3 linked regions of the Canis lupus familiaris genome follow. Each later gene encodes a partner of the first gene's protein in a complex. Links are inferred from orthologs where the notes say so. Each region holds a gene or a part of one and is shown on either strand. Other genes may lie near its edges. The genes, in order: PRIM2, PRIM1 and POLA1.

What was found.
Region 2: the proteins of PRIM2 (region 1) and PRIM1 are in contact, whole or in part, in a crystal structure (PDB 5EXR), measured with the Homo sapiens proteins. The link is inferred for Canis lupus familiaris from reciprocal best matches to the Homo sapiens genes PRIM2 and PRIM1. Residues at the interface, in NP_000938.2 of Homo sapiens: Glu165, Ala168, Ser169, Pro171, Ser172, Phe188, Ala189, Leu192, Phe195, Arg196, Gly197, Arg198, Val200, Tyr201, Leu202, Glu203, Asp204, Gly205, Phe206; in NP_000937.1 of Homo sapiens: Lys147, Glu148, Asp149, Phe150, Gly151, Phe152, Ala180, Val181, Gly184, Ile185, Glu187, Tyr188, Ser190, Leu191, Lys193, Lys207, Ile208, His209, Pro210, Ile212, Arg213.
Region 3: the proteins of PRIM2 (region 1) and POLA1 are in contact, whole or in part, in a cryo-EM structure (PDB 8G9F), measured with the Xenopus laevis proteins. The link is inferred for Canis lupus familiaris from reciprocal best matches to the Homo sapiens genes PRIM2 and POLA1. Residues at the interface, in XP_018121015.1 of Xenopus laevis: Pro34, Pro35, Thr36, Glu37, Asn38, Ile39, Ser40, Leu41, Ile42, Phe44, Glu45, Ile49, Ile107, Phe110, Ile111, Leu114, Cys117, Gln118, Ser119, Glu120, Asp121, Arg123, Ala240, Arg241, Leu243, Val245, Val246, Gln247, Arg251, Leu252; in NP_001082055.1 of Xenopus laevis: Leu842, Lys853, Ile894, Pro895, Glu896, Leu971, His974, Arg977, Glu978, Leu981, His982, Glu985, Gln988, Lys989, Asn991, Glu993, Asn1007, Asn1009, Arg1101, Asp1102, Glu1106, Gln1109, Glu1221, Asp1224, Gly1225, Asp1227, Ala1229, Leu1230, Met1233, Trp1234.

What each region holds. Positions count from the first base shown.
Region 1 is NC_049233.1:24,768,126-24,778,199, forward strand, and holds the start of PRIM2 (DNA primase large subunit), read left to right. Parts: upstream 1-3,987; 5' UTR 3,988-4,098; intron 4,099-4,830; 5' UTR 4,831-4,839; coding exon 4,840-4,993; intron 4,994-6,829; coding exon 6,830-6,933; intron 6,934-9,603; coding exon 9,604-9,683; intron 9,684-10,074. UniProt on the Homo sapiens protein: Regulatory subunit of the DNA primase complex and component of the DNA polymerase alpha complex (also known as the alpha DNA polymerase-primase complex) which play an essential role in the initiation of DNA synthesis.
Region 2 is NC_049231.1:1,324,921-1,334,983, reverse strand, and holds the start of PRIM1 (DNA primase small subunit), read left to right. Parts: upstream 1-4,153; 5' UTR 4,154-4,235; coding exon 4,236-4,338; intron 4,339-5,152; coding exon 5,153-5,310; intron 5,311-10,063. UniProt on the Homo sapiens protein: Catalytic subunit of the DNA primase complex and component of the DNA polymerase alpha complex (also known as the alpha DNA polymerase-primase complex - primosome/replisome) which play an essential role in the initiation of DNA synthesis.
Region 3 is NC_049260.1:20,334,884-20,344,348, reverse strand, and holds part of POLA1 (DNA polymerase alpha catalytic subunit), read right to left. Parts: intron 8,063-9,465; coding exon 7,950-8,062; intron 7,194-7,949; coding exon 7,077-7,193; intron 5,858-7,076; coding exon 5,783-5,857; intron 4,721-5,782; coding exon 4,582-4,720; intron 3,838-4,581; coding exon 3,683-3,837; intron 1-3,682. UniProt on the Homo sapiens protein: Catalytic subunit of the DNA polymerase alpha complex (also known as the alpha DNA polymerase-primase complex) which plays an essential role in the initiation of DNA synthesis.

The sequences.
Region 1 (10,074 bases):
TTTTCAGATGCTTAAGGTCTAGCAGAAATAAAGGTTATATGTTTATATGTTTTTCCACCTCCAGTCTCCATAACCAGATTATGAGGTTGAGGTCTATAATTTATGTGAATCTTGGTTGCCAGGGATGAGCATTGTGTTAATCCATTTTTAAAAAATGAAATAAATACATGAAAGAGCTTGCGGTGATTTACCAAATATGGTCACTGAAGTGGATAACATTATTGAGCATTATTCATACTGTAATGTGTAGATGTGTATTATAATTGCCTCTGGATACAGAAAACACTCTTCACAGTGAGGTAGTGACCAAAGGAGAGTGTTCTGAGCAGTGTGTTCATCAAATCATCCAGTGGTTCACATTCTCATTGTACTATATGGAATTGCAGAGATCATGGTGGTTTAAATGAGGAGCAGCCTATAAGCAAAGGCTCAATAGGATGGAAGAAGGCAGCAGTTGACTACTTGAAGTATGGGTAGAAGTCTTACAGCAGGGCTGGTTAGGGCTTTTGGAGACACAAAGTAGGGAAGTACAAGGTCTTTTGGGGAAGAGCTAGTAGTTCAGAGCATATGTTGGAGGGTAGTGGTAGGCAATAAGATGATCAAATCTTGGGGCCATGCTGTGGAAAGCCTTCAGATGTTTTTGAACGATTAAAACAGAATCTTAAAAATACCATAAAATGTCTCATAGTCTACCTCACTGCTAGTTGCTTAGTTGCCATTAATGTAAAACATGTTTATGTTTGTAGGAGACTATTTTTTTTTAAAGATTTTATTCATTTATTCATGAGAGACACACAGAGAGGAGAAGCAGAGACACAGGCAGAGGGAGAAGCAGGGATCCCAGGACCCCGGGATCACGTCGAGTCAAAAGGCAGGAGCTCAACCACTGAGCCACTCAGATGCCCCAGGAGACTAATTTCTTTAACAGTCCGAAGAACTATAAAAGATATCAACTATTGTAGAGAAAGAGGTATTGACATTTAAGTCAAAGGTGGGATGCTTTACTACTGGACTAAGGATAAAGCTAAGTTAAATAAAAACTAAGTATATCTCAGAGTGGCTGTCTTGCACCTAAAATTTTAATTCCAATGGATACCATCTGCCCAGATAGTAAGGGGGGGAGGTTGGAGGTTGGTGCACTAGTGGAGGTACGAAGCAGGAGTTGCAGAGGGCTGTCCCCTGGTGGAAGTCAGAAGCATTGTAGGAAAATGTACTAGTATGGCAAGAGCAACTTTCATTCATTCATTCTCAACAACCATGCAATTTTTTTTTTAAGATTTTATTTATTTATTCATAGAGATGCAGAGAGAGAGAGAGGCAGAGACACAGGCAGAGGGAGAAGCAGGCTCCATGCAGGGAGCCCAACGTAGGACTCGATCCCAGGTCTCCAGGATCATGCCCTGGGCTGCAGGCGGTGCTAAACCACTGCGCCACCCGGGCTGCCCACAACCATGCAATTTTATTGCTTAAAACAAAATGTTAACAGTGTCTGTCCCTGGGTGACAGTATAAGCAGATTGCCGCATCATAGGTGGATTTTCTTTTTGACATTTTCCAAAATTTCTAAAATTTAATTTACTAGGGAAAAGTAGTTTAAAAATGACTTGTTGGATCGCCTGGGTGGCTCAGCTGTTGAGCGCCTACCTTTGGCTCAGGGTGTGATCATGGAGTCCTGGGATCGAGTTCCACATCGGGCTACCTGAATGCAGCCGGCTTCTCCCTCTGCCTATGTGTGTGTGTCTTGTGAATAAATAAACCTTTAAGAAAAATGACTTGTCAATTAGGTAATGTTTTTACAAGATTGGGCTTATATGGCATGTATGGTTTTCTGTATTTTGCTGTTAATAGTATCCTAAGCATTTTCCCAAGTCAATAGTCTTCAAAAACACGTATTTTGAATGGTTGTGTAATGTCCCATAATAGGACTATACTATTATTTATTCTTTTTTCCTGGGTTTTCACTACTATAGTGGTTTAATGAAGTTTCTCGAACACAAATTTTTGTGTCCATTTCTGAACAGATTCATCTAAGTTAAACTGTATGAATTCTTTTAGGGCTCATAATACACATTACTATATCGTACTCCAGACTTTTAGTACCGCAACAATTCCTATGTGAGCTCATTGTACTGGACTTTGCCCAGCACTATTTTCATTGTAAAATCTTTGCCAGTTTTGTAGAGGAAAATTTCTTTGCTGTCAATAATAAACACTTTTTCATATTTCATGATTGGTTAGGAGTTATTTGTTGCTGTTCTTTTCCCACTTTTCAGTTTTTGTCAGCATTTTTTTCTAATTTACTTAAGCTCTTTACATTTTGATGGTATTAGTCATCGTACATTTTCCCCTAGTTTGATGACTGCAAAAAATTTTGTGAATTTTTAAGATGCCCGATTTTACATTTTTATAGTCAAATCTTTAGATTTCTTTGTACTTTATTTACATTAATTTCCTATCCAGAGATCAGATAAATATTCACGTAAATGTTCCTATCGTCTGTGCTCTAGGTTTTTCAGGCAGTTCTCATGTTTTCAGGTGTCTTCTTTGTATCAGGTTATGTTAATTATGTTGTCTGATACAGAGAGGAAAGAATTAAAGTGAGGCACTGCTGTCAAAACGTGGAATTAGGGATCCCTGGGTGGCGCAGCGGTTTAGCGCCTGCCTTTGGCCCAGGGTGCGATCCTGGAGACCCGGGATCGAATCCCACGTCGGGCTCCCGGTGCATGGAGCCTGCTTCTCCCTCTGCCTGTGTCTCTGCCTCTCTCTCTCTCTGTGTGACTATCATAAATAAATAAATAAATAAATAAAACTTAAAAAAAAAAACCAAAACGTGGAATTGGTACTGTATGCTAGTTAGCACTGTGGTGCTTGGAGTCTCCCTCACTTTGAACCTGGCCCTGTCATTTATACGATCTTTGAAGTAACTTAACTTCTTGCCCTTTTCTGTGGTTTCCTTATCTGTAAAATGGGTTAATAACATAACCTATCTCATACAGTTATGAGAATTGATGAATTGATGTAGAAATCACTTAGAACACGTCCTGATACAAAGTCAGGGCTAGCCGCAGCTTGATCCACGATGGGTAGGTGCTTTGAAGTTTGGTATTGTTTCGATATATTTTGCATTTCTAAAAACCTGACGTTTCCTTTCAAAGCGCTCTTCACCTGCAATGATCACCAGATCTTTCTTCAGCCACTTTAGTGAGGCACGCCTCCTAGAGGCCACAAGTGAAGCTTATTTCGAGCTCCTGAAAACCCTACAGATCTCCTTTGGAGAGCTGGTGTGGCTCTGACCCACCGCTTGCTTCCGATGGACCCCTACTTCTTCCCTCTGAGCCTAATCTCTTCAAATTTCTGCAGGTCCCGGAGCGCGATCTGCGTGTGTGCATTCATCCTAGCTCCAGCCATTTTGCGGGGGCTTACTAAGCGCGAGGCGTGGGGTGGGGGTGGGGGTGGGGGTGGGGAACCCAAGAAGGTCGAATCTGTCTTTACGGTGCTTGCCGTCCCGTAGGGAAAAAAAAAAACCAAAAAAAGAGAACGTGCTGTGCATAGATGGACAAACTAACGTTCATCTTTTAGCTTCCATTTTCTCATCTCTAAAATGGAAGTAATACAACCTACCTTATAGGGTCGCAGAAAAGATTAAACAAGGGAAAACAGAGCCCCCAAGAGCCCCCAACGGGTGAGAAGGGAGCGCAGCCATCGCCTATTGCGGCATCCTCCTCCAGCTCCAGAGCGATCAGTCTACCCGGTGGGTTAAGGCGCCAGGCTCTTGGGAGCGTGGGAACTTCCACCGCTAGTCTTCCCAGTGTCACTCGTCAAAAGCTCCCGGTTGCAGGTACAGGAGGTACAGCTTGCAATCTGGAAACACAAACCATCGAGTTTAAGAAATTCTAAGCCGGCAAAGCGGGCTCAAAGCCCCCGGGAACCCGGGAGCCCCCGCACGGAGCATGCGCAGGGCGCGCGCTGGGTGGGCGGGACGTGCGAAGGGACGCTGTTGTCCTCGTCACTTCCGTTTCCGGTCCCATACGAACTCTCCCGCCATCTGAGGAAAGCGGCTGTTGGGGTTTGTGTGTTTTCGTATTTGGTGTGATTGCAGGTAAGAGGATCTCCTGCGGCTCTAGGACGGACAGTAATCTTGGTGTTGAGGCTTCCAAGTGGGGAAAGAAGGGAGAGCACTTTGCGGGCGGTGAGAGCCGAAGGATGACATGGCGGGGTGAAGGTACTGGGTGTCGGTAGGTTGGGGGCAGACACAGGTGCCAGCGAGTTGAGGGGACAGAAGCTTCGCCTGAGAAGGGCTCGGTTAGGATGGAGGCGGGTAATTTTTATAAGGGGCTTTGGATGCTTTCCTACAAGCCCGGAAAGACTGGATTAGACGTGTTCTGTTTCCCAGGGTTCTGAGGTAGGAAGTAACTGGGCCCGGTGCATTCAGTCTCTGCAAAGCCAGAACCTGCCGCGCTTTCTTCCACATTCAGGATCGCAACCCGTGTTAAATCCCACCTTAACTCTCGCGACCGCAGAGATCTAAGGGCGGTGGCACATAGACTTAGAGTGAACAGGTAACATAGCCTGACTTTGCTGTCGCCGCGAGTTATGGCTTCCACCTGCATACACCTCCCCCCACTCTCATGACGGAACTGTGTCAGGTCCGGTGTAGAAAACCTGGAAAAGGCAGAAAGACAGATTACCCAGGGATAGTCACTGTTAACATTTTATGCATGACCTTTAGGTTTTTTTTTTTTTTTTTCTGTATATGTGAAGTTTCTTTTTGCACTTTTTTTGTGGTCAACCCCACTTGCCATCATTTTAACCATTTTATGTTTCCTTCCAGGGGAATGAGATGCAGTTTTCAGGGGGAATGCGCAAAAAACTGAGGTTGGGAGGTGACCAACGGAAGGCTTCCTACCCTCACAGCCTTCAGTTTTACTTGGAGCCACCTTCTGAAAACATATCTTTGATAGAGTTTGAAAGCTTGGCTATCGATAGAGTTAAATGTGAGTGATATTTGAATTAGCGTTTATATATTCTTGAGAACTTCACTTACACTTTTTGTGGAATGAATGAGGGTAATTTATTTCCTTCAGTTAATTCAAGAAATATTTATTGAGGGCTTGCTTTTTATTTACTGCACAGTGTATGTTTATTGAGTGGCACTATACCCTAGGTTGGGTGGGGATTTTCAGATGAATAATGTAATTCTCATATTTGTTGAAGCTGTATTCTAGTACATAGATACAGACATCCAACGTAATAATCATAATTTAGTATTTTAAATGTCTTACTAGAGGTAAATAGTAGTGTTCTTGAAACAGGTGAGAGTGATTAAGACTGCTTAGAGAAGTTGAAATGAAAAAAAAGAAGTTAAAATGTAGTCTGGACTTGGAAGGAAGAGTAGAAATTTCTCAAAAGAAAAGTAAAAGATTTTTTTTCAAGATGAGATAATGGACTATACAAAGGCTTGGAGGCATGAGAGAATGTTATATTTGAGGGAACAGTGACAAGTTCAGGATAGGTGGAGAAGAATGGATAACCAAGGGCATTTTGTGCCAAGCTAATGGTGTAATATTGGTGTGTAAGGAGGATGTGGCACTTGTACTGCTGGCCTGCTTATCCTCTGTGTGCTAGTGTAAGAAAGAAAGAAGCTGGGCATGAATTGAAGCAGAAGTAATAGCAGTGTCTTCTGAGTTTCTGTTCCAGGATATCCTGGTGGGAAAATCAGAAGGTAAAGTGAGCTAATATTAGTCACTTTTAGAGGAGTAGAGTGGCACCTGCTAATGCAGAAAGAGAGCACTCAGTGCCTGTGGAGTGAAAGAGTGAAGACAGGAGAGAAAGGGGTTTCAGGAAGCTTAGCAGTGTCAGATGCTTCATAGATTAAGATGATGATTGAAAAGTGCCCTTTGAGTTTGGCATTTATGGGGTGAGATGATGAGGGCCTGAATTAAGGCAGTAATGGTGTCAGGAATAGGAAGGGAGTGATTTACAGGATACTGAGGAGGTGTTCCTGAGAGGAGTTGGTGATTATTTGGATGTGAGGAGTGGAGGGGCAGGTGGGAGTGGCTGAAATTTCAGTTGGGATGACCTGGTGCTTAGAACCTGTGCTAATGGAGATGGTATGGCAGGAAGAGGAGTAGGACTGAAGGGAAGAGAATTAGTTTAGTTTGGGATACCATCATGATGTACCTGTGGGGCATGGGTTTATGTTCAGGATTCATTTTAGATGTTTTTCATTGTTGAATTATCAAAATGCTTTTCATATTGATGGAAGTAGAATTCTTCTGAGGAAGGATTGAAAAGGTACTTTGGAAACCTTTGAAAGATACGTGCCTCTGTTCAAGGCAGTTCATTTAGTACACGGGGGGGCTTTGCTTCTTTACTACTACTTCTTTACTTCTTCTTCTCTACTTCATCAGTAAAGGAAGGGCTATTTTTTCTGAGGAGTCTATGCTGAGTCAGTGAAGCAAACTGACAAACAACGTTAGGGATGCAAACAAGGGTGCTTAATTTTTTTTTCATGCCAGCACACATGAATTCCTTGACAGTGGTGGCTCAGTACCAGAGTAATTATCCCCCATCCCTCTCCCTCTGCTTGAGAATCCCTGGTATTAGATTATGTTATGGGACATGGATATTTTCTGCACATGGATGGAGATTATCTTCTTATAAATTTATGTAATTTGTATAATGTACTTACAAAAAATAAAGGTGTTACAACTTGTCATCTTTTAAAAACAAGTAATTATGGAATTGCCATTCATTTGTCTTGGGACCTAGTTTTTAAAAATTACCTTGCATTCATACATTTTCTCTTCTGTTTTTATAATATTTTCTAGTGCTAAAAGCAGTTGAAAATCTTGGTGTAAGCTATGTGAAAGGAATTGAGCCATACCAAAGTAAGTTGGAGAATGAGATCAGAAGGCTCAAGTTTTCCTTCAGAGTAAGTAAAAGCGGGAAAGAAATGTTCTTCAGTTTGTATATATTTCTGTAGTGGGTCTTGGTTGTGGAAAAGATCTTGGATTAGGCCCAGGGCTTTAAAAAAGACTAATATAGCATAGACTCTGCCTGAAGATATATCTGCAGCCCACTAGGGGTGATTGACATATAGTCAGATGATCATAATACAGCAGGGTTTCTCGACCTTGGGATTATTGACATTTGGGCCTGATAATTCCTTGGTGCAGGTAGATGCTCAGTAGTGTCTCTGGCTTCTGTCCAGTAGGTATCTGTAGACATTGCCAGATGTACCCTGTGCACCACAACATGAGGGATGCCGATAGATATGTGCTCTAGGAACTTCAAGAGTACAGAGGATTACCCAGCTCACATTGGGGAGGTTTGGGAAGACATCCCAGTTCTAGCTAGTGCTGGAACTGAATCTGATAGATGTGATCAGATTTTTATTTTAGGAAGATGACTGCCAACAGCAGATTGAATGGGCCATATCTGGTAGGAGGAAAAACAGGTAACCTGGAAATAATGAGAGTGAATTGAATGGGGAGAAGAGGACTGATATTAAGAGATATTATGAAGGTCAAATAAACAGATTCTAGTGACATTGCAGGGAGAAGAGAGAGGAGAATTAGGAATGACTCCCAGGTTTTGGTTAGGACAAGTAGGTGGAAGGTGATAGTAGTTTGAGAGGTGATATATACAGAAGGAGAAGCAAGTCTTAGAAGGAAGATGTTGAGTTCTAAACATGAATTGGAGGTGCTCGTGGAAATGCTTAGTGGATAGTTGGGTATACGTGCAGGTTAGATTTGGGAGACACCTGGAGTGGGAATATAGATTAAAGAGGAAGGTTGGTATCAGGAGGAGGAAAATATTTGAGTGAGAAGATGATGATGGACAGGATGTGAAGAATACCAATATTTGAAGTGAAGTAGATTTGGGGGAGTCTAGGAAGGAGATTGAGAAGGAATTGCCAGAGAGGTAGATCAGCAGGGATGATAGTGTCATGGTAGCCAAGGAGGGCTGGAGCTGACATCATAATGATCGTGATATAAATACCAATACCATAAGAATAACGAGGAAGCATTCATATTCTACTTATTGTATCCCAGAGTTCATTCTAAGCATATTACATATATTAACCCATGTAATCCAGTTAATAGTCTTATGAGGCAGGTACAATTGTCACCACTATTTTATAGATAAGAGAATGGAGTTACTGATAAGCTACATAACTGACCCAGGCTTATAGGACGATAAGTGGCAGAGCCAAGATTTCAAATCTGGACATTTTGTTTCCATGATGGTGGTATCTTTAACTACATATTTCAGAAGCTTAGGACCATGTAAGATGAATGGTACAGAAACCATTGGATTTATCAGCTTGATGGAGCCTTGTAGATGGAGGCAGAAGCCAAAATGATGGCAGTGTTTGGAGGAGAGAAGTGGGTACAGAATATGTACTCTTGTAAGATGGCTAGCTGAAAAGAGAAGAGAAATAGATCTGAATATAGAAGAATTTATAGGGAAAAGAGAAGGCATACAAACATGATGGGAGATTACTTGAACATGCTTATAAACTGAGTGACGAAGAGAGAGAAGAACCTAGAAGAGAGAGAAGAGGAGCAGAATTTGAAGATAATTTGAGAGAGCATTTGATAAATCAAGATACTTAGGAGGCAAGAGCAGGTGGATTGCATGGCTTAGGTTTAGGGATTAGCTGATGTAGGAGGAGGGAGAGATCTTTTGTCCACAGAGATGGAAGGGACACTAGTACAGTGTGGATGCAGAAGCTCGGAGCTGAAGAAGTTGGCCCGGTGGCCTTTATTTTCTGTAAATTAGATGAAGTTATCTGTTGAGAGAGAACAGGAAGGTGGTGTGGTAGGGAGCTTAGCTCAACAATTGAAGACTGAAACAGCTTTTCTAAGAGTGAGGAAAGATGATTATGTGTCAAAACCCTTTTCTATTGCTTATAAGCATTGTGACCCTGGAAAAATTATATAACATCCCTGTGCCTCAGTTTCCTCATCTTTAAAATAGGGATATAGTAGTACTTACCTCAGATTTTTTTTAAAGGATTAAATGGGTTAATAAGATTAAAAATGGTTATAATAGTGCCTGGTACCTCAAGACTGCTCACTCTTACTGTGTTGAACTTAAATAAGCACTTGGTGCTTGTAAAAGTCCAGTACATGTTAGAGGTTGTGAATTTTTAATATTCCAAATTCTCAGTAATTGTGTATTTTATTCCCCCAGAGGTTCTCAGTATTTTGGTAATAGATCTGTAGAGTGTAGTGGTAGATTTATTTAAAATCTAGGTTTTTGCCAGATGGTTAAATGAAAGCAGTTGAAGGTTGATGCAAGGGGTGTTTGAAGAGATGAGAAAACTGGGTATAGGCTGGGTAAGAAAGGAAGTTAAGAGAGGGGTTGATAGGAAGAAAAGAGTAGAGTCCAAACCCAGGGGGTTTTGTTGAGATCAGTTCAGTTTTCATTTTCACTTAATGGCTAACAAGTAAAATGGTAATTACCTTGGAGGGCATATTTATGAAATTTGTTTTTGAAACTTTTACTTTACCATTGGCTTATGCTATCTCTATTTCTTTATATACTTGTTACCATTCTAATGCATTTATTTTATTCATGTGCCATTATTCTTAAGGAAAGCTTAGAAGATGAATATGAACCACGAAGAAAAGATCATATTTCTCACTTCATTTTACGCCTTGCTTATTGCCAGTCGTGAGTACACGTTTACAGTCTCACAGTCGAATCTGATATCTTGGGTTATAAATTGGTACATGGGAAGCTGACATATATTGTACTGACCATAGAAAAACCCAGAATAACATCAGAAACTGGCGATTCATGAGTTGAACACTGCTATAGTGAATTGTTTGAAGCCAGTTGTTTACTGAAAAATATTGAAAAAAATTCTGTTGTAAAATTTACCTGTTGAAACACTTGTTAGCTTCATGGGACAGCTTCTTCCTTTGGGATTTGAAATTGGAGGGGATTTCAGTAAGAAGGGCTTTTGCTTTCCCAGAAAACAAAAAAAGTGTCACTATTTATAAGAAATAAAGACTCGGGGATGCCTGGGTGGCTCAGTCAATTGAGCGTCTGCCTTTGGCTC
Region 2 (10,063 bases), on another chromosome or scaffold:
TATAAATACACCTATAACACTTCATTACATTTTTTTTTAATTTTTATTTATTTATGATAGTCACACAGAGAGAGAGAGGTGCAGAGACACAGGCAGAGGGAGAAGCAGGCTCCATGCACCAGGAGCCCGACGTGGGATTCGATCCCGGGTCTCCGGATCGCGCCCTGGCCAAAGGCAGGCGCCAAACCGCTGTGCCACCCAGGGATCCCTCATTACATTTTTTGATTTGTGTTTATTGCCCCTATTAGGTTATAACTTTCTCAGAAACAAAAACTATGTCATTAATTTTTTTCGCCCTACAATCTAGCTAAGTGCTCAACACAAATGTTCATTAACTATCTGTGGATCTATCAATCAAATAGATCATCCTTTATATGTTAAAAACATCCGAAATAACAAGAGTCGAACTAGAAAGGAAGTCATGAAGTAGGTGTCCAAGTCTGCAAATAATTTGCGGAGACCTAGGATTGATGGATTACCCAAAGAGGATGATGGTAGATGTATGTAGTAAAAGAAAACAGGATGGCAGACGGTTTATGGCTTGAAGGACAAAGGGGTTTTGCACCTTTGTGGATGAAAGCACAAGGGGAAACCAACTGAATGGCAATACTGCCTCCCAGTGGCACCTAAAATAACAGCCTCTAAAGCAGGGCACTTTTACAGAATAACAACTTTCTGATAGAGTGTGGTTGTGGCCTAAGAACTGTGCTAGGGACTTCTCACTTTATTTCACTTAATTCTGACAACAACTCCTTGTAGAGACACAACATGTAGCTTAGCAGTTAAATGCAGAGAGCTTTCTGGCTTTCCCAACATACTAGGTGGTGTGACCTCGGACCAAGAATTTAAGTTCTCTGCATATTTCCCCATCTATAAAATAGGATAATACTACTATCTACCACATAGGGTTCTTATGAGGGATAAATTTTTTAAAGTAGGCTCTATGCCGAGCGTGGCTCAATGAGCCTGAACTCATGACCCTGAAATCAAGACCTGAACTGGGATCAAAGTCAGACTCTCAATGGACTAAGATATCCAGGTGCCCCAATTAAGTTCTTTTTTTTTTGTTTTTAACAATCCTATACATTACTCAGTGGTCACCATAGTAAGTGTAGTCACCGTCTGTCTCCAAACAGTGTTATTACAATCTTATTCACTATTGGGACGCCTGGGTGGCTCAGTGGTTGAGCATCTGCCTTTGGCCCAGGGCATGATCCCGGAGTCCTGGGATCGAGTCCCGCATCGGGCTCCCTGCATGGAGCCTGCTTCTCCCTCTGCCTGTGTCTCTGCCTCTCTCTCTCTCTGTATCTCTCGTGAATAAATAAATAAAATCTTTTTTAAAAATCTTATTCACTATATTCCCTATGTTGTACTTTTCATTTCTGTGACTTCTTTATTTTATAACTGAAGTTAATACTTCCTAATCCCCTTTATCCATTTCACCCATCCCCCTACCCACCTCACCTCCAGCAACCACTATTTGGTCTCTGTATTTAAGAGTCTGGGTTTTTTTTGTTTGTCTCTTCATTTTGTTTCTTAGATTCCACATATGAGTTAAATAATAAGGTATTTGTCTTTCTCTGTCTCACTTATTTCACTTAACATAATAGTCTCTAGGTCCGTTCCTGTTGTTGCAAATGTCAAGACCTCACTCTCTTTTATGGCTGAGTAATATTCCTCTGTGTGTGTTTGGGGGGGTGAGGTGATATCACATCTTTGTCCATTCATCTATTTTAGATACTTGGCTTGCCTACATATCTTTGCTACTGTAAATAATCTACAATAAACATAGGGGTGCACATATCTTTTCTAATTAGTGCTTCCATTTTCTTTGAGTAAATACCCAATCATAGAATTACTTGATCATAGGGTATTTCAATTTTAATTTTTTGAGGAAAGTCCATACTGTTTTCCACCAATTTACATTTCCACCAATAGTCCACAAGGGTTCTTTTTCCTCCACATCCTCACCAACACCTGTTATTTCTTGTCCTTTTAATTTTACCCTTTCTGACAGGTGTAAGGGAGAAAAATAAATTCTCAAAAGGGTACTTGACAGCATAGCGAATGCTATATAAATAGTAGCTATTATTATTCCCTTTTTCTGATGAGAAAATCAATGTTAAATAAATTGAGTACACAGTAGTAACTTAAAAAAATATAACTTCCTGGGATCCCTGGGTGGCGCAGCGGTTTGGCGCCTGCCTTGGCCCAGGGCGATCCTGGAGACCCGGGATCAAATCCCACGTCAGGCTCCCGGTGCATGGAGCCTGCTTCTCCCTCTGCCTGTGTCTCTGCCTCTCTCTCTCTCTCTCTCTGTGTGTGACTATCATAAATAAATAAAAATTTATATATATATATATAACTTCCTTTGCTTTTTTCCCTTACATCTTAGCTCTCTCAGGTGTTGTGCTCCTTAGTGGTTCTGAAATTCAAACAGGGGACTCTCAAATATTCCAAAGAAGTCAGTTCCTAAAGGCAGCAACGCAAAAACTGAGAAACCTCCATTAAAAAGTCCAGAGGGAGGGGAAGCCCGAGTGGCTCAACGCTTGAGTGTCTGTCTTTGGCTCAGGTGGTGATCAGGAGTCCTGGGATTGAGTCCCATGTTGGGCTCCCCTCTGCCTATGTCTCTGTCTCTCTCTGTGTGTCTCTTATGAGTTAATAAATAGAATATTAAAAAAAAAAAAAGTCCAGAGAGAGACGGCTCTGGAAAAGAGCACTCCCTATGGCACTCTTGCCTTTCTTATTAGAGAGAAGATCTTCCCAGTAACAAAATTCACCCTACTCAAAACAAGATGCATAAGGATTGTGAAAATCAACTAACTTTGTGCACGAAATTAGATTTCAAGGAATATTCAAATAAGTATGATCTGCCCAGAGTCTATTTTTGACCACTTTGCCCACAGAAGCTAAAAGACTGTGATCATTTTCGAGATTAGGCTAATAGAGACTCTATTCTCTCCTTGTTCTTCTACTGTTACTGCAAACATAAAATTCATGAAAATGATGGTTTTCAAGTAACATACTTTGTAATTATAGACTTCCCACCCCACTCCACATTTGCAATGAGGTGTATCTTTACCAGGTAAGATTGATTGGCAGATCGGCACGTTAGTAGCAGACTCCTTTCAAAGCTCTCCATGATTCTGCAAGATTTCTCTAATTCAGATTTTAGGATTCCTGGGTGTTCTATTTGAGAGACTGAGTATACAAACAGTGGCCATATGTAAAGACAGAAGTTTGAGGAACCCTGGCTGGCTCAGGTGGAAGAGCATGCAACTCAGGGTTGGGAGTTCAAGCCCTATGTTGGGTGTAGAGTTTACTTAAAAACAGAACCCTGACCTACAACCTGAAGAAGCCAACCCAGAAAACCAATCCCCCTATCTATAATAAACACCTCAGGAAGCCAGCCTGCTGTAAGTTAGACTTGCAGAAGTCAGATCACTGTCTGTAGTAATAGTCCAGGAAGCCAAACAATAGCCCCTATAACAACTGGCCCCAAATGGCCAGCCCTTGATTAATAAATACCAGCTTCCCTAAATTTTGTGGCCACTTCCAATTTAGGACCAACCAGATAAAGTCAAATATGTGTCCCTACTCCTGGATAGCCCAACTACAGCTTTCCCATTGCAAACAGCCTTGAATCGAGGTATACCTGAAACCTCCCCTCCCCCCACTGTAAAGCTTTCCCTTGCCTCTGCCCGCCTTTGAGTCTTTGCCAAAACTCCAGTGTCTGCAGCTGACCCCTTGCCATATAGCAAACTCTGAGTAAATAGGCTTTGATTTTCTTATTTGCTTGGTCTTCGTTTATTTCCACATATTAGACCTAGTAATTCTATGAAGAATTAATTTCCAAACCCTCTTTAAAAGATACTGGCTTACACTGTTTAAATGCGTTATTTCTGAAACATTCATAAAGTTAGCGGGGAACATCATTTCTTACTTCATCTTAGCACCTACTTCCAGAAGCCCAAGGGCTCACCTTTCTGCACGGGATCCCTCCCGGAACGGAAGCGGCTTTCCTCTGCCCACCAGAGCAGCCGAGTTTAGCGAGGCAGCTGATTCGCTGAGATCCCGCCGGCCCAGGCCAACCCCCAAGAGGGAACTACAATTCCCAGAGGCCCTTGCAGAGGCCGGGGCGTGGGCACAGCGCGCCTGCGCAGTGGCCGAAGCCCGGGTTGTGTGCTTCCCGCCAATTCTTGCGATAATCCTGCAGAGGTTGAGTCCCGTGCTCCATGGCGACGTTTGACCCGGCCGAGCTGCCCGAGCTGCTTAAGCTTTATTACCGGAGGCTTTTCCCCTACGCCCAGTACTACCGCTGGCTCAACTATGGCGGAGGTGATGGAAGCCGGGGGCGGAGAGGGGAGTGGTCCGGGGGGCGGTGAGGAGGGGGCTCTGGGAGGGCGCCTCCTGCGCGCCGGGCGTCCTGTCGCGCGCTCCCACCACCTCAGGGGTGTAAAGGGGCCGAGCGGGCGAGCGTAAGCAGCCTCGGCCCCTGCGCGGTCGGACTCCGGTCAGGGCCGCGCTCGCCGGCCGCGGTGCCTGAGCCCGGGCGACGACTGGGTCCGAGCCTCAGGCTGCAGAGGCGGCTCCCGCCTCAGGGCCCGCGCGCGGGCAGCTCCCGGCAGGGGAGAGCTGCCGACTTCGCAGCTGAGCTGCTTGCGGCCCGCTGAGGAGCCGCGGGTGACATTGCACCTTTAAATATTTCTGCTTTTCCCCCATTTTTACTTTTCCTATCAGATGCAGGATGGTAAGCCCTTTCAAGTCAGGGACTAGGTCTTTTTTTTTTTTTTTTTTTTTTTTTTTTAACATGTAGCACAGGGGATCCCTGGGTGGCGCAGAGGTTTGGCGCCTGCCTTTGGCCCAGGGCGCGATCCTGGAGACCCGGGATCGAATCCCACGTCGGGCTCCCGGTGCGTAGAGCCTGCTTCTCCCTCTGCCTGTGTCTCTGCCTCTCTCTCTCTGTGTGACTATCATTAAAAAAAAAAAAAAAAAAAAAAAACATGTAGCACAGTGTTAGGCACAGAGGGCTCATTAAAATTATCTTCTCATGGGTCAGAGTTATAATGCCCCGAGCTGAATAAAGTACCAAATTAACAAAACAAAACAAAAAGTACCAAATTAACTTTAAAATTGTATATTTATTTTGCAGTAATAAAGAATTACTTTCAACACCGTGAATTTTCATTCACATTGAAAGATGATATTTACATTCGCTACCAATCCTTCAGCAACCAGAGGGATCTGGAAAAGGAGATGCAGAAAATGAACCCATACAAGATTGATATAGGCGCGGTATATTCCCACAGAGTAAGAAGTCTTTTGTGTATTTTGTAGTTTTGTTTTTAAACCAAGAACGGGGGATCCCTGGGTGGCGCAGCGGTTTGGCGCCTGCCTTTGGCCCAGGGCGCGATCCTGGAGACCCCGGATCGAATCCCACCTCAGGCTCCCGGTGCATGGAGCCTGCTTCTCCCTCTGCCTATGTCTCTGCCTCTCTCTCTCTCTCTCTCTATGTGACTATCATAAATAAATAAAATTAAAAAAAATTAAAAAAAAAAAATAAACCAAGAACGGGGCAGCCTGGGTGGCTCAGCGGTTTAGCACCTGCCTCTGGCCCAGGGCCTGATCCTGGAGTCCCGGGATCGAGTCCCACATCAGGCTCCCTGCATGGAGCCTGCTTCTCCCTCTGCCTGCGTCTCTGCCTCTTTCTCTCTCTCTCCCTGTGTCTCTCATGAATAAATAAAATCTTTAAAAATAAATAAGTAAAATAAACCAAGAATGGATTGGTGCCCCCATCGTTCTGAGATTTAATTTTTAGAGCTTATTCTAGTGGAACCCCACTTTAACTTTCTTGCAAGTAAATTGCAGTATTTTTTGTTCCTTGATACTCTACATTTGGAAGTGAGTTGGTTGTATTCTCACTCGGACAAAAATATTGAGTATCTGGCCGAAAGAGTAAACGAGGAAGTCAGCATGGTTTAAAGGACGGTATTTTTAAACAATTACATTGTCTTCCAGCATTGGAGGTGTTTTGTTTTAAGTAACTTCTTTATCCAATGTAACTCTGAGATCGACAGTCACCTACTCCATGGGCAGAGCCAGGCCAGCACCCCATGGAGTCTTGATTCCTCTGTTTCTTTCACACTCTATATCTGTTCCATTAGGAAATCCCTTTAGCTCTACTAAAATAGTATCTGAAATCCAACCACGGGTACCGGTGCTACTACCATTATCATCTTTCATCTGAATTATGGTAAAAACTTTCTAACAATTTGCCCCTATAGATTCTAAAGTCTATTCTTCAGAGAGTAGCCAGAGCAGTCCTTTTATTTTTTTTTTAAGATTTTATTTATTTATTCATGAGACAGAGAGAGAGAGACAGAGACACAGGCAGAGGGAGAAGCAGATTTCACACAGGGAGCCCAACGTGGGACTCCATCCCAGGTCTCCAGGATCATGCCCTGAGCTGAAGGCGGCGCTAAACCGCTGAGCCACCCGGGCTGCCCAACAGCAGTCCTTTTAAAGCAAGTCAGAATCTGTGATTCCTCTGCTCAAAACCATTCTCCAGTGGCTCCCCATTTCACTCAGAGTAGAAGCCCCACTCTCCCCCTCACTCCCTCCACTCCAGCCACACTAACCCTTGCTCAAGCAGTTTCCACTGCCCAATCCCGTTTTCCCAGGTATCTTGTCGGTTCCCTCCCTCACCTACTCAAGTCTTCACTCAGTGAGGCCTACTGTAACCTGCCGCTCCTACCCATCGCTACTGATGTAGTCTAAATGCTAGAATAGTGCCTGGCAGAGAGAGTGCACCATAAACATTTGTTGAACGAGTGAACATACCAAAATTGCCATTCTTTCTCTCCTTAAAAACACACAAATGAGGGGGAGAAATACGCTTATGGGATAATAGCTTTTATATGGAGCTTTTTCTTTTCTTTCTTCCCAGGATTTATTTATTTATTTTAGAGAGACAGTGCAGGTGTGCAAGCAGGGAGAGAGGCAAAGAATCTCAAGCCGACTTACTGGTAGAGCCCAACACAGAGCTGAATCCTCTGACCTTGAACTCATGACCTGAGCCAAAATGAGAAGTCAGACACTTAATGGACTGAGCCACCCAGGCGCCCCAGGCTTTTTTTTTTTTTTTTTTTTAAGTGTTTCCTACTCCTATTATTTTCTGCTCCCCAGAGCCAACTGCTTTCTTTTAGCTGATTCTTAAGGTATTTGCCCCTCGTGTGTAAATAATATTTTTGTATTTCTTCTGTTTTCCATTTTAAGCATAATGTACTTGACCTTCTACTCTGGCAAGTGAGGATTTAGCTTTTTTTTCACCTCACCTTCCCATTTCCACATGTCCCAATATGTTAGATTAAAAATCTGGGTGGCCCAGTCAGTTAAGCATCTGCCTTTGGTTCCCGGGGTCCTGGAATCAAACCCCACATTGGGCTCCCTGGGGTCATGTTCCCGGGGTCCTGGAATCAAACCCCACATTGGGCTCCCTGCTCAGCAGGAAGTCTGCTTCCCCTCCCCCTCTGCACCTGCCGCCCCCCACTTGTATGCTCTCCCTCTCTCTCTCAAATAAATAAATAAAATATTTTTTAAAAATCAGGTTAGATCACTAAGTCAACCCCAAATTTCTTGCCAATTGTCTAATCTCCTAATGTATTCAGACACACCAGGTAGTTGGTCAGTTTCATCCCAAAGAAATTTCACTGGAGCTTTCCAACCTCCAAGCTGGACTGATTGCTCCCTCTAAGCCTCATGGATAAATATGATCCTGTAATCACCCCAGTTTCCTTTCACCTCTCTCCTATTTTGGATCCTGTGTTGCCTGAATCCTTTGTTCTCTTTGTGGTTTACTTCCTGGTTTGGGTAGAGCACATCCTTCAGGAGCTTCCTGAGAAAAGGTGCATGGAAAAGAAAATACTTGACACTTTCTGTATCTGGAAAATGTCTTCATTCTACCTTTAGGCTTAAGTAATGGTTGAGTTTGTAAATCAGTTTCCCCTAGTTTCCAGTGTTGCTGTTAAGACTACTGATGCAGGGGGATCCCTGGGTGGCGCAGCGGTTTGGCTCCTGCCTTTGGCCCAGGGCGCGATCCTGGAGACCCGGGATCGAATCCCACGTCGGGCTCCCCGTGCATGGAGCCTGTTTCTCCCTCTGCCTATGTCTCTGCCTCTCTCTTTCTCTCTGTGTGACTATCATAAATAAATAAAATAAAAAAAAATAACTATCTATATAAACTGCATTTAAAAAAAAAAAGACTACTGATGCAGGGCAGCCCTGGTGGCGCAGCGGTTTAGCGCTGCCTGCAGCCTGGGGTGTAATCCTGGAGATCCAGGATCAAGTCCCACATCAGGCTTCCTGTATGGAGCCTGCCTCTCCCTTTGTCTGTGTCTCTGCCTCTCTCTGTCTCTATGAATAAATAAAATCTTCAAAAAAAAAAAAAAAGACTAATGCATTCTCATTTTTGTTCCACTATGTTGGATTTGAAAGCTCTTAGGATTTTCTACCTATCCCCCGTCTCCCTAATGTTCTAAAATTTGACTATGATGTGCCTTGGTGTGCATGTTTTTACACCTATTGTGCTAGATACTTGATGGGCTCTTATAATCATGAACTCATGTCCTTCAATTCTAGGAAATTTTCTTTTTTCTCTTTTAAGATTTTATTTTGGGGACACCTGGGTGGCTCAGTGGTTAAGCATCTGCCTTCAGCCCAGGGAATGATCCTGGGGTTCAGGGACCGAGTCCAACATCGGGTTCCCTGCATGGAGCCTGCTCCCTCTGTGTATGTCTCTGCCTCTCCGTGTCTCTCATGAATAAATAAATAAATCTTAAAAAAAAAAAAAAAAAGGTTTTATTTTGAAGTAGTCTCTATACCCAATGTGGGGCTCAAACTTAAAACACAGAGATCGGGCAGTCCGGGTGGCCCAGTAGTTTAGCGCTGCCTTTGGCCCAGGGTGTGATCCTGAAGACCTGGGATCGAGTCCCATGTTGGGCTCCCTGCATGGGGCCTGCTTCTCTCTCTGCCTGTGTCTCTGCGTCTTTCTCTCTGTGTGTCTCTCATGAATAAATAAGTAAAATCTTTTAAACAAAACAAAACAAAACAAAACACAGAGATCAACAGTCTCATGCTCTACTGACTGAGCCATCCAGGCACCCCATTTTTTTTCTTAAATACAATTTTTTTTATCTATAATTTTTCTCTGATGTCTCTAGAAATCCTTAAGTCAGATGTTATATGTCTTGGACTGGTCCACTACTTCTTTTCTAATCCTATTTTCTATTTTTTTGTCCTTTTGCTCTCCTTTCTGGGGAATTTCCATTGAGGTTTTCATTTCTGCTATTTTAATTTCCAAGAACTTTTTTTAGAGCATCCAATACTTTTTTTCATTGATACGTCATATCTTTCTGAGGATATCAATGATAGTTTAAGTTTTTTGTTATACAGTGTTTTCTCAAAGTTGCTTTTTTTTCCCCGTTTTAACTCCTCTTTCATATTAGAGGCTTTCCTCAAGTCTGGTAATTTCTTGCATGTTGTTTATATTTAAAAATAGAGTACTAAGGATGCCTGAGTGGCTCAGCAGTTGGGCATCAGTCTTCAGCTCAGGGCGTAGTCCGGGTTCAGGGATTAAGTCCTCTGTTGGGCTCCTTGCAGGGGGCCTGCTTCTCCCTCTGCCTGTGTCTCTGCCTCTTTCTCTCTGTCTCTCATGAATAAATAAATAAAATGTTTTTTAAATAAAGTACTAAAAAAGCTGATTGGAAGATGTGTATACATGGCTAAGATTTATTACAGAGTGATCTGGCTGGACCAATTTTGGGGAAGGAAGTTCTGATGTCAATTTCTCTAGAACTTTGCTTAAATGAAAACTCCACTAGCACAGAGATGTTTGTTTTGATCACTCATCTTCTATTCCTAATGCCTGACACTCCTGATCAGATTCTTCAGAGAGGAATCTTCTGATCTCCTGCCTGGGGTGGCAGTGATAGGATATAGAAGTGGAGAAGAGCACTGGGTCTCAGCTTTCCATATGTAAATACCCACTTAATCCCCTGTATATCAG
Region 3 (9,465 bases), on another chromosome or scaffold:
ACCCAGGGATCCCTATCCAGATGATTTTGAAGCAAAACCCAGACCCATCACTTTATCCACAAATATTTCAGCATGTATCTCTAAAACAAAGTTTCTCAACCTCAGCACTATGGACATTTTTGACCAAATAATTCTTTGTTATGGTGGCTATTCTGTTCACTGTGGGATGTTTAGCAGTATCCCTGGCTGCCAACAGCACCACCTTCCACCCCCAAATTGTGACAACCAAAAACGTCTCCAGACCTGGCCAAATGCCCCTTAAAGGGCAAAAATCTCACCCCACTGAGAACCACTACTTCAAAAGATAACAAGTTGTTAAAATATAACACAATCATAGCTAATATGATTAACAGTAATTCCTTAAAATCACTAAATATCCAGGTAAGATTCAAATTTTCATGTTTTCCCAACAATCTCAATTTTATTTACCAAGTAAGCCCATACTCTGCGATTAGTTGATATGTAAAACTATAGGCACAACCCCTCCCCACCTATTATTTTCCTGCAATTCATCTGTTGAAGAAACTGGGTCATTTGTCTCATAAAATACCACATGGTATCAATTCTGCTGCTTGTATCCCAATAATACCATCTAACATGTTCCTCTATTTCTACACTGCTGGTGAATTCATATTTAGATCTGAAGGCCTGATCAAAATCATATTCAGTTTTTTGGGACAAATATGTTAGAGTTGCCACTGATTGCTTCTATCAGACAGCACAGGCACATCATGTCTGGTTAGCTCTCTTTTAGTGATACTAGCAGCCACTGGTGATCACTGGCTACATCTATTATTTCACGGGGGATTGCAAAGTCATAATATTCAAATTCTGCTTCATCATTTCTTGGATGGAAACCTTCTATGAAGAGACACTTCCCTTTATCGATTATTTGATTACCTGAGGTACAATATGAGTTCAAAAAGGTCAAGAGAAATGCTAGACTCAATCCCTTCATTGACCAGTTTCCAAACCAGTGAGTTGGTTCCCCAGCCACTTTCCCAGATGACCACTGCAGGGTCACTTGTGCTTATGGTATCAGGGTGAACTCATCTGTCTCAATCTGCTGCAGCCATCTATATCCATGCTCAAACTATTCCATCTTTGGCCATTGGAAAACTCTTCAAGTTGACTCCTGAGCTCTTGTGACACATCTTCAGTAGATTTTAATATTGTCCTGGCTTTCTAGTAGAACTAGATACTTCGGGCTCATCTTGGACACTTTCTGCCCTGAATCAGCAATTTCTCTGAAGCCCTACTTTCTTTCTTGTTAAATGGTACTGCAAAGCCTGAAGGCTAGAAGACAGGTACTTTTTTTTATTTAACAAATCACTGGTCAATATTGCATGTAATGTAGGGCCCCAACTTCCTACTCAGAAAATTGGCAATGAAAAAGAAAGTACACAATGACCTCATCTTTCCTGTACAAACTACTGCAGCATAACCAAATAGTGCTGATTAATGAGGAAAAGTTAATGTTACAGAAAAATTTAATAAATATTCTAATATTTTTGTAAAGATTTTATTTATTCATCAGAGAGAGAGAGAGAGAGAGAGGCAGAGACATAGGCAGAGGGAGAAGCAGGCTCCCCATGGGGAGCCTGATGCAAGACTCGATCCCAGGATTCCGGAATCATGACCTGAGCCAAAGGCAGATGCTCAACCATTGAGCCACCCAGGTGTCCCTAAACATTCTAATATTTAACATGTTTAATAAACGTGGAAAGGATGACAGAATTAAAACACTGTTTTACAACTTCTAATGAAATAACTCATTCAGGTAAAAAAAATGAAGGGGGGAGCCATTAGATCAATGGTTCTTAAATGGGAACAATTTTGCTACCCACCCCCAGAGGACAGTTGGAGATGTGTGGAGGTATTTTTGGTTATTACAAGTAGGGGGGAGGGGTGCTAACTGGCATCGGGGAGAGGCCACAGTTACTGCTAAACATCCCACAATGCCCAGGACAGCCCTCACAACAATGAATAATTCAGCCCAAAACATTAGTAGTGACAAGGTTAAATACTTCTCTTTCAGATGAAAACTTGAACCCACTAATCAATCACAGCCCCACTAACAGTGGTTTCACCAGACATTATATGCCTGCTGATATATTATGCAGTATGAAATATATCATACACCTATAGAGCACACTAACCCAAAAAGTCAAAACTGAATCTAATAAATTATTTAGTGCTAACTAGTAGCAGGGGTGAGCAAACTGGTTCTGTAAAGAGCCAAGTACTAAGTATTTTAGGTTTTCAGGTCACATGGCCACTGTCATGGCTAGTAACTACAGCAACTGCAGCTGTGAACTAATAGGCAGGATGTCTTTCAATTAAACTTTATTTACAAAAACAGATGGTGAGGCTAGATTTGCCCATAGGCCATACCGTGCCAACCCCGGTACACAGGAAGAAGTCCAATGACACGAGGAAGCAAACAGAAAATGGGACATTCTATAAGACAATAAACAGTGATTCTTAAGTCAATGTCAACAGAAAAAGAGAGTGGGAGGAAGCTGCTCCCATTTAAAAGAGATTCAAGAGATATAAAAAATTAAACATCTGTGAATCTTACATGAATCCTGATTCAAGGAAACCAACTGGTAGAAAACATTTTTGAGTCAGTAATGTTGTAATAACTATGTGGTAATACAGATGGTTACTAGGCCTATCATGGTGATTATTTTATAGTGCATAAGAACATCAAATCACTATGTGGTACACCTGAAACTAATGGATGTCAAAAATAATCCCAAAAGACATTTTTGATAAAAAGAATCATATGAATATGGACTGAGTATTTTATTTTTAGACTGGATCAAGGTATCACTGGTATAGTTATTAAGTGCAATAATGGTATTCTACAAGAAAGTGTATATGTTTTGAGAGATGCATACCAAAGTATACAATGGTAAATTACACAATATCTGACCTTAGCTTTTAGAATACTTCCAGCAGGGAAAACAAAGTGGAAGGAAAACAAGTGTGACAAAATCTTGCTTACTACTGAATGAGTAAAAGGATTATGGAAGTTCATTATATTATTCCAAGTCCACTTAAAGTTTTCTAAAATAAAAAATTCAAATAACAAAAAATAAAAATAAGTCCAGAAATTTAAGTCTTTAATGAAAACTCCAACACCCAACAAATTCAATTCTATCTCCAAAATGGAGTTTGGGAGTGCATTAGTATTCTTTCTCCTCCAGAAAGAATAATATCCCCTTGTAGAATAGTTGTACAAGTTCAAGAAAGCATTGCATTAAAGCATAGGTACAGGGGTACCAGGGTGGCTTAGTAGCTGAGCATCTGCCTTTGGCTCAGGTCATGATCCCAGAGTCCTGGGATGGAGTCCCACCACTGGACTCCCCATGGGGAGCCTGCTTCTCCCTCTGTCTATGTCTCTGCCTCTGTGTCTTTCATGAATAAATAAATAAAAATCTTCAAAAATTTTCTGGGATCCCTGGGTGGCTCAGTGGTTTGGCACCTGCCGTCGGCCCAGGGTGTGATCCTGGAGACCCAGGATCGAGTCCCACGTCGGGCTCCCTGCATGGAGCCTGCTTCTCCCTCTGCCTGTGTCTCTGCCTCTCTCTCTCTGTGTCTCTCATGAATAAATAAATAAAATCTTTTTTAAAATCTTCAAAACAATTTTAAAAAGCATAGGTACAAATTTCTTTACCTCATGTTGATGTGTCTTTGCATTCTGCATTGTCTTCATGCTGAAAGACATGACCACGAGTGGAGGAGGACCAATATCTTTAATTACATTCACCAGGTCTGGTTTCAAGGCCATTGCCTCAACTTTACACCAACTGACTGGCTGATTCAAGAGCTCTGAAAGAGAACAGATAAAACAGATCAATAGCCATTTGTTGAAAAAGGAAAACTACTATAATTAAGATATCTGTGATTAACTGAGAAAGTCTTCAACCCCATATTCCAATAAGAATGTCTTATTACAACATCTAACTAAAAATAAGTCCGATTATTGGGTTGTATGCAAAGTCGTGTGTATGTACAGTATGTTCATCTTCCTGAGAAAAAGGTCCACAGCTTTCATCTGATTTTCTTAAGAATCCAGGACCCAAAGAAGTTTTTAAAAAAAAATAAAACCCCACCCTAGAGGAATCACAAAACATTTTTTTTTCACAAAACATTTTTGAGAGATTCATGAAGCCAAAACAGAGTATCACAAATGCAAATACTGGAAAACATGAGGTAAGAAACCAAACGAGCACTAGCCACATCAGGCAGTGATGCTTTCCCTCCTTCAGAGTCAGCAGTCCACTACGTATAGCAGGTGGGCTTCATCGGCCAGGTCAGAAGTACATGCCAACAACAGCACAAAGAGAGATGCATGCAAACGACCACCTGGGCTAACACCTCTCCCACTCAACTGCCAGGCACCACAGCAATAAAGTGGATCCAAACACATTCCCAATACTCACTTAAGGAACATCTTGTGAAAAACAACATAAAAAAGGAAGGAGAGGCACTGAAACACAAAGACCAATTCCTTAACTTCTAAAAATCTCCTCTATCAGCAACCTGGCTTTCCAAATGTAAATTTTTCCTTACGTGGATTTTTCACCTCGAGCCAACAAGGTCCCTTGATCTTTCTGTTCATCAAGAACATTTCTAGGCTGGATGTGTTGGTCCCAAACACATGAGAAAAAGTTTCTCCTTTCAAATCCTGAGGAAGCTGTGGCATTTCAGCCTGAAAAAGGCAAAGAAGAAAAAAAAACCCTTTTTTGTTTAAAACTATTACTTTACATTTTCCCAAGTCTATATTTGAAATAAACAAAAGCCTCTTTATGAACCTCCAGAAGAAACCCCTTTGATATATATGAAATGTAATTTGCAATACATGAAATCCAAAACAATTCACAGTAGGACACAAAAACAATTCACAATGACAAAATAATGCATCTTGATGGCACTCATTAGAAGAAAAATAGGCCAAGAAGCTCCCCCAAAAGAGGATTTCTGTCCAGAGCTGTACATGCCTTACTGATAAATAGCCAAGTAAGTACCACTCCATTGGAAGAATAAAAGCAAGAGAGTGGAACTCATTTAAAATGGTTCTATGGTACTTTTCATCACCACTGTCAGAAACATTTCTTAGAAGTTTCCCTTTTCCAACATCATGAGATCAAAACTCTATAACAGAGGTAAAAAGAGGTTAAGGCCCAGTTAATTAATGTCCCACAGCAATGACCTTGCCTATCAGAGAAGCAAGAGCAGCACTACAGTGCCGCTGACGTTCCTCTCTCACTTTTCTGCTGCTCAGAAGGGACACTTCAACAGACTAATGATGTTCAACTCCACCACATGGCATTCATTCCATTTGACAAGCAGTTGTGTGGTTTCAACTCACTTATTTAAAGATGCATACTTAAGGGGTGCCTGGGTGGCTCAGTCGGTTAAGCATCTGCCTTTGGTTCAGGTCATGATCCCAGAGCCCTGGGATTGAGCCCTGCGTCAGGCTCCCCACTCAGCAGGGAGTCTTTCTCCCTCTCCCCCCTACTCATGCTCTCTCACTCTCCCTCCTCTCAAATAAATAAGTAAAATCTTTAAAGATGCATACTTGAAAGCCGAGAAAGGCAGTAAAACTAATGATCTATATATTCAAATTAATTGTATCCATTTTAATTACTCATTACTATAAGTCCACCCCAATGAACTGTGGGGCTTGAGGAGTCCTCCTGATACTAATTGAAATTTCAAATATAGAGAAATGTCATTCTCAACCAAAACCCAGTAACTTTCTTTGACTTACCGAGTATCTAACTTCCAAGTACTCAGATTTTTCTGGAACATCAGGTATCTCAAAAGCATAATTCTTTTCCACTGGCTGGGTAAGTAGATATTTAAAAATAATTAAGAAAAATGCTTTTTACAAATTAAAATGACAAGCATATACACAGCACACATCCCTGTATTCGACACTGAGGAACCCAGTAACCTCATGGAACACAAAGGTAAATAAAGCCAAAAGGGCACCCTTTCCCCCTTTCCATTGGGCCTAAACACCCAGTGACAAAATGCTAAAAAGACTTCTCTTGGACACTAGAGAACTTGGAAATGTTTGCATTCAAGAAGGGCAATAAAAGATTAAAAATATTTATAATGTTAATGTATTAAATCATTTGCTACTCTTTGATACTAACCAACTCCATCTTGAATGGAGAATTAATATTAGCATTAAAATTATAGCTCATATTTACTGAGTGCTTACTAAGTACCACGGACTATTCTAATCACCTAATAAGAATTCAATGGCTTAATTCTTGCAAGAACTTTTTTTTTTTCTTCCAACAACTCTTGATATAGGGTCCAATTTCTCAGGTGAACAATAGGCCCAGGAAAGTCACTCAGCCCTTCTCCAAGGTCACACACTACAAAGTCCTAGGGCTAGGACTGAAAGCACTAGCAGTCTGGTCCCAGTATCTATGCTCTTTACCATTATACCACACTATTTCTAGAATTTTAGAGGATTTATCCATCAGCCATAATTCAAAGCTCAAATAGTTAAGATGATTAACCTTATCTTCAGCAACTCAATCCTCCCTTTGCTGCAATCACTGTTAAAAGTATCCTGAATTACAAGCCCCTATGATGATGGCCAAAGGTGGTCCTTTATTGCACTAAAATCAAGACCAATCAATATGTAACACATAAATAAAAGATTTTTATTCTATCGGAAACAGCATCATAGTCCCTGATTTTTAAATATAAAACCTTAACCTTCAGACCAAAACAACCTGCCAATAACTAATAAAAACAAGATCACAAGAATTTCTTCTCCATTTCAGAAAAAGAATACAAGATATGCTGCAAGTATGATTACTATGTATTATCTTTCTATTCAAATTCACGAAAATTATTTTCCAAGAGAAAAAAATAGTTTTACCAATCTTACGTATTAGTTTTACATTCATACCTATGAAATTTCCAATGAATTATAGCCACAAAAAAGACATTTTTCGCAAAGAAGATATACAGTAATTATTTTGTAAGTCAGGAAATGAACAAATAAAAACAGCAGGAAAAAATTATCACCAAATACAAACCTTAGACTTGAACTTCATGATTTTATATTTTGCTGCTATTTTCTCATCAAATTCATCATAAACATCCTTCATTGTAACTAGAGTTTCTGTTTCTTTTCCTGTATTTAGATCAATTTTCTGCTCTCCCATGGAGAGGAGAGGGGAGGGAAAAAAAGTATCTGTACATGAGATCTTTTTAACAACAAGAAACCCATGTCTAATTCAATTTTCAGCTTCAGCCATTTAAACATTTAGAAGAACAGTCTTATAGATAGAGGAGTTCAAAGATACCAGGAGACCCCCAAAAATACTAACCCCAATGCCCAAATCTTCCCAGTGGCATCATAAAAGCACATAAGATAAAAATGACTGATTCTACAAAATGGGAGAATAGTGTGGTAAATCCTGACCAAGAAGCTTCACATTCACAGTTCAACTGAGATCTCAGGGGAGGGACTGGGCTTAGGAGGGGAGTGTGGATGCTAAGTCGTAATTTAAAAAGGAGGAGCAAATGTAGCTAAGCTGGTTCAACGGCCGTGGAGGGAACAGTGCTGCCTGCACAGCAGAAGCATGACAACTGGGCCAAATGCCATGTGACAGTTTAAAGCCATATACTCCCAATCCTGATTACTATGGAAATGAGGGGTGGGGGAGAAGATACCATTATACACTAAAACCCACACTTTGACAGTGTAATGGGTCAAAAAACACAGTTTTACTCCATTCTCTATTTCTCCCAGCCTCTAACAGAGCTGCTGACAACCAATGGTTACTAGGCAGACAGCAAGAAAGAAGCATCTAGGCTATGGGTAAGTCATAGCCCCAGTGAAGACTACGATTGGTGGCAGAACATACAATGTACTTGGAATTAAGAGGCTAACCACTAACAATTACCATTTCTCGGGGAAGGAAGTAGAGTGTTCGCTCGATGTTTTTCACCATAACACAACAGCTCACATGGGTTTTGGCAGATTCAATCCAAACTTTGCCAAACAGAAATACCACACCTAAAAGAGTAAGAGAGGACCGTGAGAAAAGAAACATTTCAATTATATCACAAGAGGCAATATAAAGGCTCACTGTATGTGTCCAGACATTTATGCTTTCATGACACATTTTTTACAGTAAATTTGTATCTGCTGCCCACTCTGCAAGCCCAGTTCACTTACTCAGTACTTATACCACACAATATCACACTAGTAAAACCTGTAACCATGGAGATGACAGGGGACAGAATATTCTCTAACTTGGTGTCAAGATTTTCCCTAGAATTAGAGACATCATAGGTAAATGGAGATGAACCTCAGTTACTGGGGAGACATCCCAAGTCCAAGTAGAGAGGAGACACACCTGAGGAAATACTGAGATACCCCAGGTGAGTGCAGAAACCCTGGGGAACTGGAGACACATCCCAGCTAAGTGTAGACATAGCTCAAATTAGAGATACCCTAGGTCAGTGTAGGGAAAAAAACTTCCCTAGAACCAGGACTACCCAGATTAAGAGAAACAAAGCAAACTATTCTCCAATGAATCGCCTATTTAAATCTCTTGTGAAGTGTGAGAATACTACACATTGCTTTTTAGCACCTGTACTTACCAATAAAAATTAATATTCATGTATAAGAATAACTTTGTATGGTACATCAATTTTCCTATACGTAAAATTGCATTTAGAAAAAACATAATAGATGTCATATACCTTATTTCATATAATGATAAATATCTAATAATAAGGCTCAACTATTATCTCATAGTTTACCCTTTCTACCTCACAGACTACTTAAAAATCTGGATAGGTAGTACTGGTCATGTTCCTTGCTCTTCTATTTCTGTACAACAAATGTTATAATAACCAAATTAGCAGACATGTCCCTTTTGAGATTCCTATGTAATATATACCACAAATTAAAAATAAGCCTTTCTAAATTGACATCAAGTCACTGTTCCTGAAAGCTGGACATCAAGAAAGGACTCCAGAGATTTGATAGTCAACCTAAGAGATGGCCACTGTGCAAAATCCTGAGCTCTGTGCATAATTAGACAGCAGTAATCAACATAGCCACTCAACACAGCCACTTGTCTGAGACACTACGAAAATCCTGGCACATGCAAAGGCTACTGTTCACGAGGCCAATTACTCCAGTTTCACAAGATAGCTCATCAGTGCTTCCTTTTGTCAGTCATTCTAGTAGAAATAAGACCATCTAAAAATTTTCATTTCTGCAGATGATTAAAATTCTTAAAAGAGTTGTGTGATTTTCAGCTGGGGCGGGGGGGATGAAGGGGAGAGGGAAGGGAGGACTGTGGGGAATGATTAAAAAAGAAAAAAAAATCACAGGAGCTCAGAAAATTAAAAGTCATCCTCACAACAGTTACAGACGAAAAAACAAAATCCCATGCAAAGAAAAAT